Schizosaccharomyces pombe: one gene and its partner. Changing the gene in region 1 together with any one later gene gives a genetic interaction. Each region holds a gene or a part of one and is shown in the gene's direction. Other genes may lie near its edges.

What was found.
Region 2: of SPOM_SPBC27B12.12C (region 1) and apl4, a mutation in one rescues a mutant of the other (synthetic rescue), as found in Schizosaccharomyces pombe (one large-scale study listed by BioGRID).

Annotation. Positions count from the first base shown.
Region 1 is NC_003423.3:1,350,297-1,356,144, reverse strand, and holds SPOM_SPBC27B12.12C (CorA family magnesium ion transporter), read left to right. Parts: upstream 1-1,916; 5' UTR 1,917-2,402; coding exon 2,403-4,814; 3' UTR 4,815-5,286; downstream 5,287-5,848.
Region 2 is NC_003421.2:2,400,133-2,405,572, forward strand, and holds apl4 (AP-1 adaptor complex gamma subunit Apl4), read left to right. Parts: upstream 1-1,864; 5' UTR 1,865-1,934; coding exon 1,935-4,445; 3' UTR 4,446-4,671; downstream 4,672-5,440. Other genes in the region: acyl-coA-sterol acyltransferase Are2, read right to left, coding at 1-241; protein Cwf18, read right to left, coding at 4,983-5,411. UniProt on the Schizosaccharomyces pombe protein: Adaptins are components of the adaptor complexes which link clathrin to receptors in coated vesicles. Clathrin-associated protein complexes are believed to interact with the cytoplasmic tails of membrane proteins, leading to their selection and concentration.

The DNA of each region.
Region 1 (5,848 bases):
TTAGTGAATTACTACGAGTGTTTGTATGCAGATATGGTGGAGAGGTGGAACGCAGAATAGTGAAGAGCAAGGAGAGTAAGTTTTTATTACGATAGAGCGTTTTATCATCGTTAAAAAATATTGTTTAGTGATAAATTCAAAAGCAGAGCTTTTATAAAACCTTTAGACATGAATGATACATAAATTTAAGAAAATAGTGAAAGAAAGCAATTTTACGATTCACGAATATGGGTTTTCTCTGTCGTTCCAAGTAAATTTAACAATAACTGCTTTATGTAATATAAAATTTCTATAAACAGGTCATGGGAAATAGCATGTGGGAGATGTTTGGAATGGTTGATTCTCAATGTTTTCACATTTGCAACGTGAAAGGATTGCATCCATATAATTAGATATGCTCATAAATGTTTGTTTATGAAACCAATCAATTATCATTAATGGTTAGGCTTTCTAATACTGTATTGTACTTGAAGCTTTGAATGGCTAAAATACATAGCATCTGTGAAAAGCAATTTGAAAAGAAAGAAAACAACAGTACATAATAGTAAAGTTTCAAGATTTCCTCCAAAAAAGACGGGAATAAATCCCAGAATGAAGAATCAAGCTCATGACTGAGAATTATCTTAAGTATTCCACATTCCCACAAAACCAAAAAAATTGAGAACTGGTGATTAGTTTTCAAGCATCGATGTTTTCAATCGAAGCAATCGCTATAAGTTGAGATTTCATAAACCTGTACGATTGAATATAGCAAGAACTGGGGATCCTGAAAACTGGAAATCCTCTGTGTATACCTATTAGAATGAGTGTATCCTTAATGGAGCAAAAAACTTTAGAATGTCAAGAAAATTGATAAAATTCAGCCATGGAAAATCAATCTGTTTTAAAAGCCAAGAATACATCCCTTCATGTATCTAAATATTCAAAAAAGGAATTGCAAAATTGACATTTGCCCTTTTAAGTAGTAAAATCCTAAACGAAAACACCGATCACACTTTTGGATTGTTTCAATTTAAATTCAAAAGTCCTGATTTATCCAAATTTTCATTTGCTACATCTTTATTATATCAAAGTAACACTTGTCAATTCATTTCATGCCGATCTTTCGGTATATGGATGATCGTTCGGAAAATCAAAAAGATGTAGTTGCATGTAGAAATTCAGCGTAGAGAAGAGACAAATTATTAGTTTCATTCTCCAATTCACTGTCTTATTACAATTGTGCACTGGGTTATGCAACATCCTCCATTTTAAAACGATTTAAGCTGAAAAGGAAAAAGACTGTTCCAAATAGACAGTACTTTACAGGCTCAGTCTCGAAATGAAAATTTCAAAAAGGTAAAACATTGAAGAAAATCTTGAAGCTAAAGCTTAATAAGTCAAATCATAGCTCTTGTTGCGATTTACACAATCACCTTAGTATACATTGTCTAGTAATGAAGACTCTGGATTTAGAAAACCTCTTTAAAGTCACCTTGTGTCAACTTAAACCCCTAATAAATAGTAAAGAAATGGTGTTTTCACGACTTTGTGTCGTTCATGACTGATTTTCAGAATTGCTTTTACATAGATTTGCAAACCAAACAGTCAATCCATTTGCTCTTAGAAAGACCATGTTTTCCTCTTCGCAGCAATCATGTATCTAAAAATATGATAGATTCTTTTCAATGAAATCATAAAAGTTCATTCTAATAAAAGAGAAGGTAAAAACATGTCCATTATTTATACATTTCACCTTCTTCTAGCGACTCAAAATAGGAACGAGGTTCCTTGATACTCGGTAAATCACCTAATAAGAGACGGTTCACTTCGTTAGTTATTTTTATTGTGCGATCACCGACAACCTTAAATTTTCTGCTCTGAGAACCAGCACATTCCTTTATACAAATGGACGTACATTCTCCATGGTACGTGTCATCCCCGTATCACAATTTTTTTTAGGAAGGTAGTTATTTGCAAATTTTGAGCTAAGACCTTCTTCTATTAATTAAAAAATAAAAAGAAAATATAACAATTTTTATTTTTTATTTTTTAATCTTTTTAAAATTTCGATATTCTGGAAATTTGCTGTTTTAAGCCGATAAAGTTGGCGCTCGTGCATCAAAGTTCAGAGGTTTTTCTCGTGCTTCTGGGAAGCGTGAAGAAGCCACCTTAATCAATGTATTCAACGACTACCATTGTTACAATCGCTCGCTAGTTCGTTTTCAATCTTCGTTTTAGGAAATCCTTACTTGATTAATATATCCTTCTAACAGAAATATTTTATTTTGTCACTAGTCCCAGCTAGTTGCCTTTATATTTTTAATCTGCTTCAAATCATTTACAGTCATTAGAGTTCATTCTTTTTTTGCTACCTATTATTTTGACAGGAAAGGCTAATTCTTATATATGCCCCAACCAACATGTCTTTTCAACAACCTTCCAACGGAGCTCAAGGAGGAAACAACAATGCATTAGAGAAAACCTCCTCCAACGAAGCTACTTCTTCTTCGTCCACCCAGGTTTCGTCCCTCTCTGCAAGTGGCATTTCGGTAAGTACTCCTCGTGTTTCTCCATTTGAACCTGAGAGAAATATGCAGGTTCAATCATCTCAGCATCTTGAAGCAAATGTGCAAAGTCCCGTTTCGTCTCAGACAACTTATGCCACTCCTTCTGCATATGCCGTACCTCAGGAGTCTGAAATAGAACTTCATGAATCTGAAATGGTGCCTCAAAAGCCCAAGAAAAAGAAGCGTTCTCGAAGGAATCGCAAAGCATCCAGGAAGAAAATACCCGCCACTCAGAGTTCCTCTGCTGATATGGACACGTTGCATGTTTGCCCGACATGCGGTTCTTGTTCGGATTCAAAGAAACCACAGTCGAACAAGAAACATCGTGGTAGACGTGTCAAACACAGCCCAAAGTCTACCCTGGAGGTACCTGATGGTATTCCGGATATCAAAGCTTTATCTGCTTCCATGGGTTCCTCTTCTCAACATGCAAGCCGCTATAACGAAGGTCGCGGAAGTTTTGATACTCTCGGTACACATTACCATCTTAGCAAAAGTCGTAAATCTTCCTCAAGCGATTCTCTTTATTCGGTGTCCTCTATGAGTATAAAGAATGATTCAAATTCTGATTCGTTATCTTCGAGTTCTTCTTCCGATGTTTCTGGCAGTGACGAAAATTTACCTATAGACAAGACATTGTACCTCTCTGTCGAGGATCCTTCATTTATGGTTCATCCCCGTAGACCTAGTGCTACCAAGTCTTGCTCCGCCGCGGTAGACTGTCCGCACACCACTATTCCAAAACCCCCCTACCAGTCGGATACAGATCTCACCGAACTTCCAACGAAGTCCACTGCTCAGTTTTCCGATGAGACGTTTACTGTTCAACCAAGACTTAAGAGCACACATTCTTCTATTGCAGACAATGAGGACCGTGAAGTTGATTCTCAAGTCGATGAGAATACACGGGTCGTTGAGGAAGATGTGTGCTTTCCTATGCAAGAAGAATCGCATGTCAATAAGGGAATTGATTTCGATGAACTTGACAATTTCGCAGAAGAGGAACTTCAAAAACAAAGGCAGAATACTGATCACTTTCGCTCTAGGCAATATAGTACTTGTAAGCCTTTTGAGCCTCACTGGAATGACTTAAGTCCACACGATCCTAATGATCCCTCTAGCTCCTTGCACTCCAATAATGCAGAAAAAGCTGCAGAGGTTCCTCTTCGGTCTTCTTACTATTCCGGCGGGAGACGATCTGTTACTTCTATGTCGGATTCTCCCTATCGGTTTAGTTTCTTTTCATCTAATCAAAATGAAACTATCCATGCATCTGTATTATCGGATTTACTGGATGACGGGGCGACTAGTTTCCGCTCCTTATTTTGTCCAGAGAAGGGTGTTTGGTGGTTGGATTGTTTAGATCCTACTGATATAGAAATGCGTGTACTTTCGAAGGCATTCTCGATTCATCCTTTGACTACAGAAGATATTCGTGTTCAGGAAGCAAGAGAAAAAGTTGAGCTTTTCGGTTCCTACTATTTCGTTTGTTTTCGATCTTTTGAACAGGATCCCGAGCTAGCCAACTATTTGGAGCCTTTGAACATGTATATCGTTGTTTTTAGAGAGGGCTTGTTAACCTTCCACTTTAGTTCAGCTACCCATCCAGCTTCTGTGCGACGTCGTGCTCGACAACTTCGAGATTATGTGCATGTTTCCTCTGACTGGCTTTGTTACGCCCTCATTGATGACATTACGGATGCATTTGTTCCGTTGATCCGTGGTATTGAAACTGAAACCGAGGCTATTGAAGACTCGGTACTTGTTGGGCGTAGTGAAGATTCTTCTGATATGTTGAGACGAATTGGTGAATGTCGCAAAAAGACAATGGGAATGTTCCGACTTTTATATGGAAAGGCAGATGTTATTAAAATGCTCGCTAAGAGATGCAATGAAAAATGGACTATTGCCCCTACTGGTGAAATTGGTCTTTACCTTGGAGACATTCAAGACCATTTAGTCACCATGACTTCCAACCTTTCCCAGTTTGAGAAAATCTTGTCACGCACACACAGTAATTACCTTGCACAATTGACCTCAAATTCAATCGAAGAGAATTCTCGCACTAACGGTGCCTTAGGTAAAATTACCCTTATTGGTACTTTGCTTGTTCCCATGAACTTGGTCACCGGTTTATTCGGCATGAACGTTCCAGTCCCTGGAAGAGATACTAACAATTTGGCTTGGTTCTTTGGTATTCTGGGTGTGTTATTGGGTTCAATTGCAATTGGCTGGATTATTACTATGCGATACAATGCCTTTTAAAGCCAGTCAGCTTGCTCAATTACACATATTTAAGCATTGAAATGCCATGAGTATCATCAATTTATTTTCAAAGACATCTATTTCTGCCATAAGTAGGGTTTAATATTCTTTATGTATAACCTTTCTTTTAAATTCTTTCTTGAAGGAAAAATGGATCAATTATTATTATCATCTTACATTTATTATTATTATTTTTATTATTATTATTATTATTATATATATATATGCTATATATCTATCTGTCTATCTCTCTATAGTATTTTTGCTATACTCTTTTTAATTTTTTGCTCTATTTTAATATTCTGAGGAAAATACAATTTGGGAACGAAATAAAAAGCAAATAGATATCTTTATTAGATATTGTTCCGTTGCTGGATATTACACTAATCGCCGAGGAATCGTGGGTCATGAGGTAGATATATAAAAATTTGTATATAGGATAATGTTAAATAACATCTTTTAGGCGGAGAAATTGATTTTATCGATAGAAGTTAGTTGTAAAATGGTTAATCATAGCGTATAGCTTTGTATTTTCTGACGAACAGCCTAAGACGTTTGCAAATTAAAAGAATTGAGTTCTGACCTCATTACTCCCATTTTGTGTAACTAAATTTCGTTTGATGAAACTGTAGAACAATAAAAAATTGAGCCATATGAGTTTATTCTTTCCTCAAAAGTTGTCTAATGAAAATTACGACACTAGACTTTTACTTGCTAATCAACAGTTCAGGTTTGGAAAACACCAAGTAAGAAAGTGCTATCGTGTTCATGGCCGACTAAGGAATTACTGGCGTAAGTGGTTTTTTTAATAACATCTTTTTAGTAATGAAAAAGAAATATACAAACAGTAAATACGAAGAAACTGAATAAGTAATTAATGAACTCAAAATACTACAAAATCGAGCACTCATTTAATTGTTTAAAGCATTGCCGGTATTTAATTAGTTGTTTTTCGGTGAAAGCGCATTTAATTTAAGCATTTCATCTTAAAAACTGGTTGCTCATACTAAGTTGGAAGCATATGGGATTCGGTT
Region 2 (5,440 bases), on another chromosome or scaffold:
AAAAGCTCATGAAAATCATAATAGAGACAGCAACCCAAAATAACACAAAAAATCCAGTAAAGTCTACCGCATTACGTTGATAATTACGAGCAAAAATCGAGGGAGTAGGAGATAATTCCAGAGGTCGGTAAGCGGCCCTAGACCTTCGAAGGTCAATTTTTGAGGTTTCAGAAACACCTTTGAACGTCTGTTCCAAGTTGACATCCGATGGTTTGGATTTAGCGGGTGTTGCAGCAATCATCTTTAAATAACCAGCAATTAAAGCAACTAAGTGAATATATAACAAAAAAGATAAATATATAAAGAAAAAGATAAAACAAAAAAATAACGTAAAATCAGCAGCTACGTATCGCGAACAGTATCAAAGAAATTGAAAAAGAAGCGGATATGAACGTAGGAAGATTAAATTTATTTTTTGCTTCGCTTCTAAATAAAAAATTGAGGAATGAAAGCAAGAAACTTAGAAATGTAATCTATTGATGGAAGTTCCAACTTGGAATTTCAAGATGACAGAACTGGTATGACGAAAACTCCACAGTCGTGATTCCAAAAATAAAAATTCTATGCCAAATGTTCCACTATAGAATGGAAGTAAATAAAAAGCTCGAACTCCTAAGCAATTCACGTTCTATGCGATTTATGTAAGGAAAAGCCAAGTCTCCAGTTTCAAAATGAGCAAAGGAGTTGATAAGTTAGAATTGCGAGCTAAGACGATGAACCACCTGATCTCAGCAATATCTGCAATACTACACCACGTTATGTAAAATTTCGTTACGTATCACTATATATCACATGTCCTATTCATTTATCCGCTATATGTGATACGACATTGGCACTTGCTTATTGTAGCTTATTACCAAATGACTGACAGGTACAAACAAAAAAGAATGCTCAATCGAACCTTTTTCCCTTAGTTTACATATTATGAGCATTTCAATAATAATTTACAATAACACCTTAATACCCGATTTTCGCGTTACCTGCATATCGCAATATAGTAGTGCACAAATACAACTCACTGTGATTTAACGTGCCATTAAAACTGGTTACAAACTGCATAGTTAAGAAGCAAAGCCACATAGCGTGGTCAAGAACGAATAGAGAAACATAAATTCCAGATATTGCCCATCAATTAACAACTCCATATAGCAAATTCGATAGGATAATTCAAAAATTACACAGATAACCAAAGGAAGCTAGGTATTCTTTTAATTTGTGCAGTATTGGTGAATGCATCAGTTTTGAGCGTCGTTTAAAGCTGCATCCTATTTTGTTAAGTGAAATTGATTTGATTTTCATTGTTTTATATATTCTGTGTTTAGATTGCGTTTTTCTGTTTGCTTTCAATACATCTCATAGAAATGCAAGTTAATATTTACTGGAATCAATTATAGTAGGAACGTAAAATATCTCAGTGAATATTGGTACGGATGGAAAGATAACTTTAGTATTGCACATGGATTTTATTAAGAACCTCTAATAAGGGAATGTGTATTAAACGTAATATGATTACTGAAAAGCACAAAAACCATACCTAAAAAATATTCAACTCTTAGCCATAGTACACCTTCTTAAATGTACTTGCAATAAGTGGTAACATAATATTAAGTTAATCAATATAAATGGTATTTACATCTGCTTAATAAAAACTAGGAATTATAAAAAAAGACACTTCAGCTGACTTAACGTAACACAGCAGCAACAAAACAAATTAAAATTTATTTTATTTAAAGCATATTTTTTAGTATTCATTATTGATAGATTGACGAAAGAGTCGCAACGTTAAATTCGTTTTAAAGAAATTTACCGTGCAATACCCTACCGCATGTACAAGCAACAGCCAAGTAATGCAAACAACACATCCAAAGAACCTGCATCTTACTTGTTCGGGAGTGGAAAGAGGTTTCACCAATTCCCCAAAGACGCATCCAAAGATGTCAAGTTTAAAATCTTTTATAAAGGCTGTTCGGGCATCCAAAACGACTGCTGAGGAGCACACAACGATTCTCAAAGAGTCGGCTCAAATCAGAAAAAACATTCGTCAAGGTTCTAATGACATGCGTATGCGCAGAAAAAATGTTGCCAAGCTGCTATATTTATTTCTACTCGGTGAGCCGACACACTTTGGTCAGATTGAATGTTTAAAATTGTTGTCGAGTTCGCGATTCATGGATAAACGTTTGGGATACCTAGCAGCTATGCTTCTGTTAGACGAGAACCAGGAAGTTTTGACGTTATTGACAAATTCTCTTCAAAATGACTTGAAATCTAGAGACAAATTTATTGTGGGGTTGGCATTATCTGCGTTTGGTAATGTCGCTGGCCCTGAGCTTGCAAGGGATTTGTCAAACGACATAGCCGAACTTTGCTCTAACCATCATAATTATATATCAAAGAAGGCTGTTCTCTGTGCACTTAGAGTAATTCAAAAAGAACCGGATTTGGAAAGTTTATATATTGAGAAAACCGATGAATTGTTACATTCAAAAAGTCATGGTGTTTTAATGGCTGCTCTTGCTTTTGCCATCAGTGCTTGCAAAATAAATCCGTCGCTAATATCCCGATTTGAAAGTCAAGCTGACGATTTGATTTATCGTATTCGTCAATTGTCCACTAGTACTTACTCCTCTGAGCATAACATTGGCAATATATCTGATCCGTTTTTGCAAGTTAAAATCCTTCAGTTTTTGTCAATACTTGGTCAAAATAACCCTAAAATTTACGACAAAATGAGTGATCTTTTAGCTCAAGTCTGTACTAACACTGATTCCTCTAGAAATGCAGGTAATGCTATTCTTTATCAAGCTGTGCGTACCATCCTTGATCTTAATTCTGACAGTAGCCTTCGAGTTTTGGGGGTCAATATTTTAGCAAAGTTTTTAGGTAATCGTGACAATAACACTCGTTATGTTGCTCTTAATATGCTGAAACTCGTTGTAAATAGTGAAGAAAATGCAGTTCAGCGTCACCGATCAACTATCCTTGCTTGTCTTAATGATGTCGACAGTTCTATTCAATCTCGTGCGCTTGAACTTTCTACATTTCTCGTTAATGAGGCGAACGTTCGTTTCATGGTGCGTGAGCTTTTATCATTTCTTGATAACGTTTCTGATGAATTACGTGGATCCACTGCTCAATATATTACAGAAGTCACAAATGCTTTTGCTCCCAATAAGCGATGGCATTTCGATACCCTTCTACGAGTCTTCAAATCTGCTGGCAACTTTGTCAGTGAATCGACTCTTTCAACGTTTTTACGACTCATAGCTAGTGCTCCTGAACTTCATGAATATGCTGTGGTAAAGTTGTACGCTGCTTTAAAGGAAGATGTATCTCAGGAAGCTTTAACTCTTTCTGCTTTTTGGGTAATTGGAGAATATGGTCAGATGCTTCTTTCACCAACAATGAATTTTGATGATGATCAAACCCTTCCTCATTCTGTTTCAGAATCTGATATTGTGGACATTATTGAGGAAGTATTTAATAGCGTTGAAGCATCTAGGTACATAATTGTTCAATATGGTCTTTTCGCTCTCACGAAGTTAAGTGCTCGTCTAGGTTCTTCTTCTACTGCTTCTCGTATTGACAAGATAATTTATTCCTATAAGAGAAACAAGAACACCGAGGTGCAACAAAGATCTGTCGAGTTCCACCTTATATTAAATGACTCCAAATTGAGCAAGACAATTCTAGAACCAACTCCCGCTCCTCTGCCTCCTCCTAGGACCACGCCTTATCAAAATGCGGAGCAAAAGCTAAAGGCTAACAAACACGTAGAAAAACGTGTTCAGGAAAGCAACGAATTGCTAGACCTCATTGGGTTAACTACCCCTTCTGTTGCTGAGCCCTTAGAAACACCAGTGGATGAAATGACTCAAAGCCCTCAATCCAGCTTAAGCCGCGCTCCTTCTACTTCCAAAAAGAGTCATTTTGAAGATATCCTTGGTTTATTTGCTTCTCCGGCGCCTTCAGCTCAACCGGTTGACAGCTTGGCAAGCAGCTTTGCTTCTTTGGACTTTAATGCTTCAGCCAGCCAACCATCAAACAACTTGTCTTTGCTTTCTTCCATACCATCAACTTCCAAATCATACCCTCCTATTGTTGTATTTGATAAACACGATGTGACGTTAACTTTGGTGCCATCCAAAGAAGAAAGTACCAAAACAGCCGTCATTGAAGCTAAATTTAAAAATAAAAATCCAATGACTAGGGTTGAGAAAATACATCTAGAAGTGGCAGTTCCCAAATCACAGAAACTGAAAATTCAGCCCTTGAGGACTACAAGTATGGAGCCTGGTGGAGAAACTTCTCAAACCCTGCGGGTTCATGGGCCATCGGGTTCTCAAGTCAAACTGCGTCTACGTATCTCTGTGGTCCGACAAGGTGGATCAAATACTCTCGATCAGGTAGATTTTGGAAAGTTGCCATCTGACCTTTTACAATAGTATCCGAAGTATGGACAATGCCATTTAAAATATAACGCTCGAGCTATCAAAGAAGATTTCTGACATGATCCATGCTACACTTTTTGATGGGTCTAGTCAGTTTTACGAGAAAATGTTCGTAGAATAGTGAATAATGAGGTAATAGAAAATGAAAGCTCTAATTGTTTTTATGAAAGAAAATAGGTTTTTTTTTATATAATTTTAGCAATTTTCTCGATATGGAATCATGGTATACTTATTGGATAAGTTCACTTATGTAATTTTCAAATTGAGACTTGCTCATTCTTTATTGTATATCATTGAACGGAAATTTGACCTTCCAAACCCTTCATTAAGAAGTGGTCGGATTTAGAATTAAAGCTGTAATATTATTTTAATAGAAGTGCATACCTCCAATACAATCGCAACTAGAAAAGTATAAAATGTAAAATCCTAAACTTATTTCCTTTAACAATTGATCAATGCAATAATTAAGCCTATGAATTATATATTAACTAACAGAGAGTAAATCCAACATTAGAAAGCATTAGTCTTGCTTTAAGCTTTTTCAGTACTATGCGCACGTTCAGAAATTAACTGTTGTATATAAAATGCTATTGCATTTTGATTTTGTGTTTCCAGAGACCGCATTCGCTCTTTTAAATCTCTTTCTAAATCCCATGTAGGCTTTTTAGGTCGCAAAGTTACCAAATCTAGTTCTTCAACAGGAACAGAACTTTGTTCTTCAATTTTTCTCTTAGTCTTTTCTTCAATCTCCTTCGATAATGCTTCAACTGATTCAATCATGTTTGGCGGTTCCACGAATCCCATTTTAGGTGCCTGCACTTCTGGATCATAATTTCGATGCTCAATTACATTTTTTTGAACCTCTTGAGAATCGCGAGTTTTATTCTCTAACTGCTTTATTTTCCTCAATTCCGCTAATCTCTGTTTTCTGGACTCTGCTACCTCATCTAATGAAGACATTTTTTGTTCCAATACAAAAACACAAAATT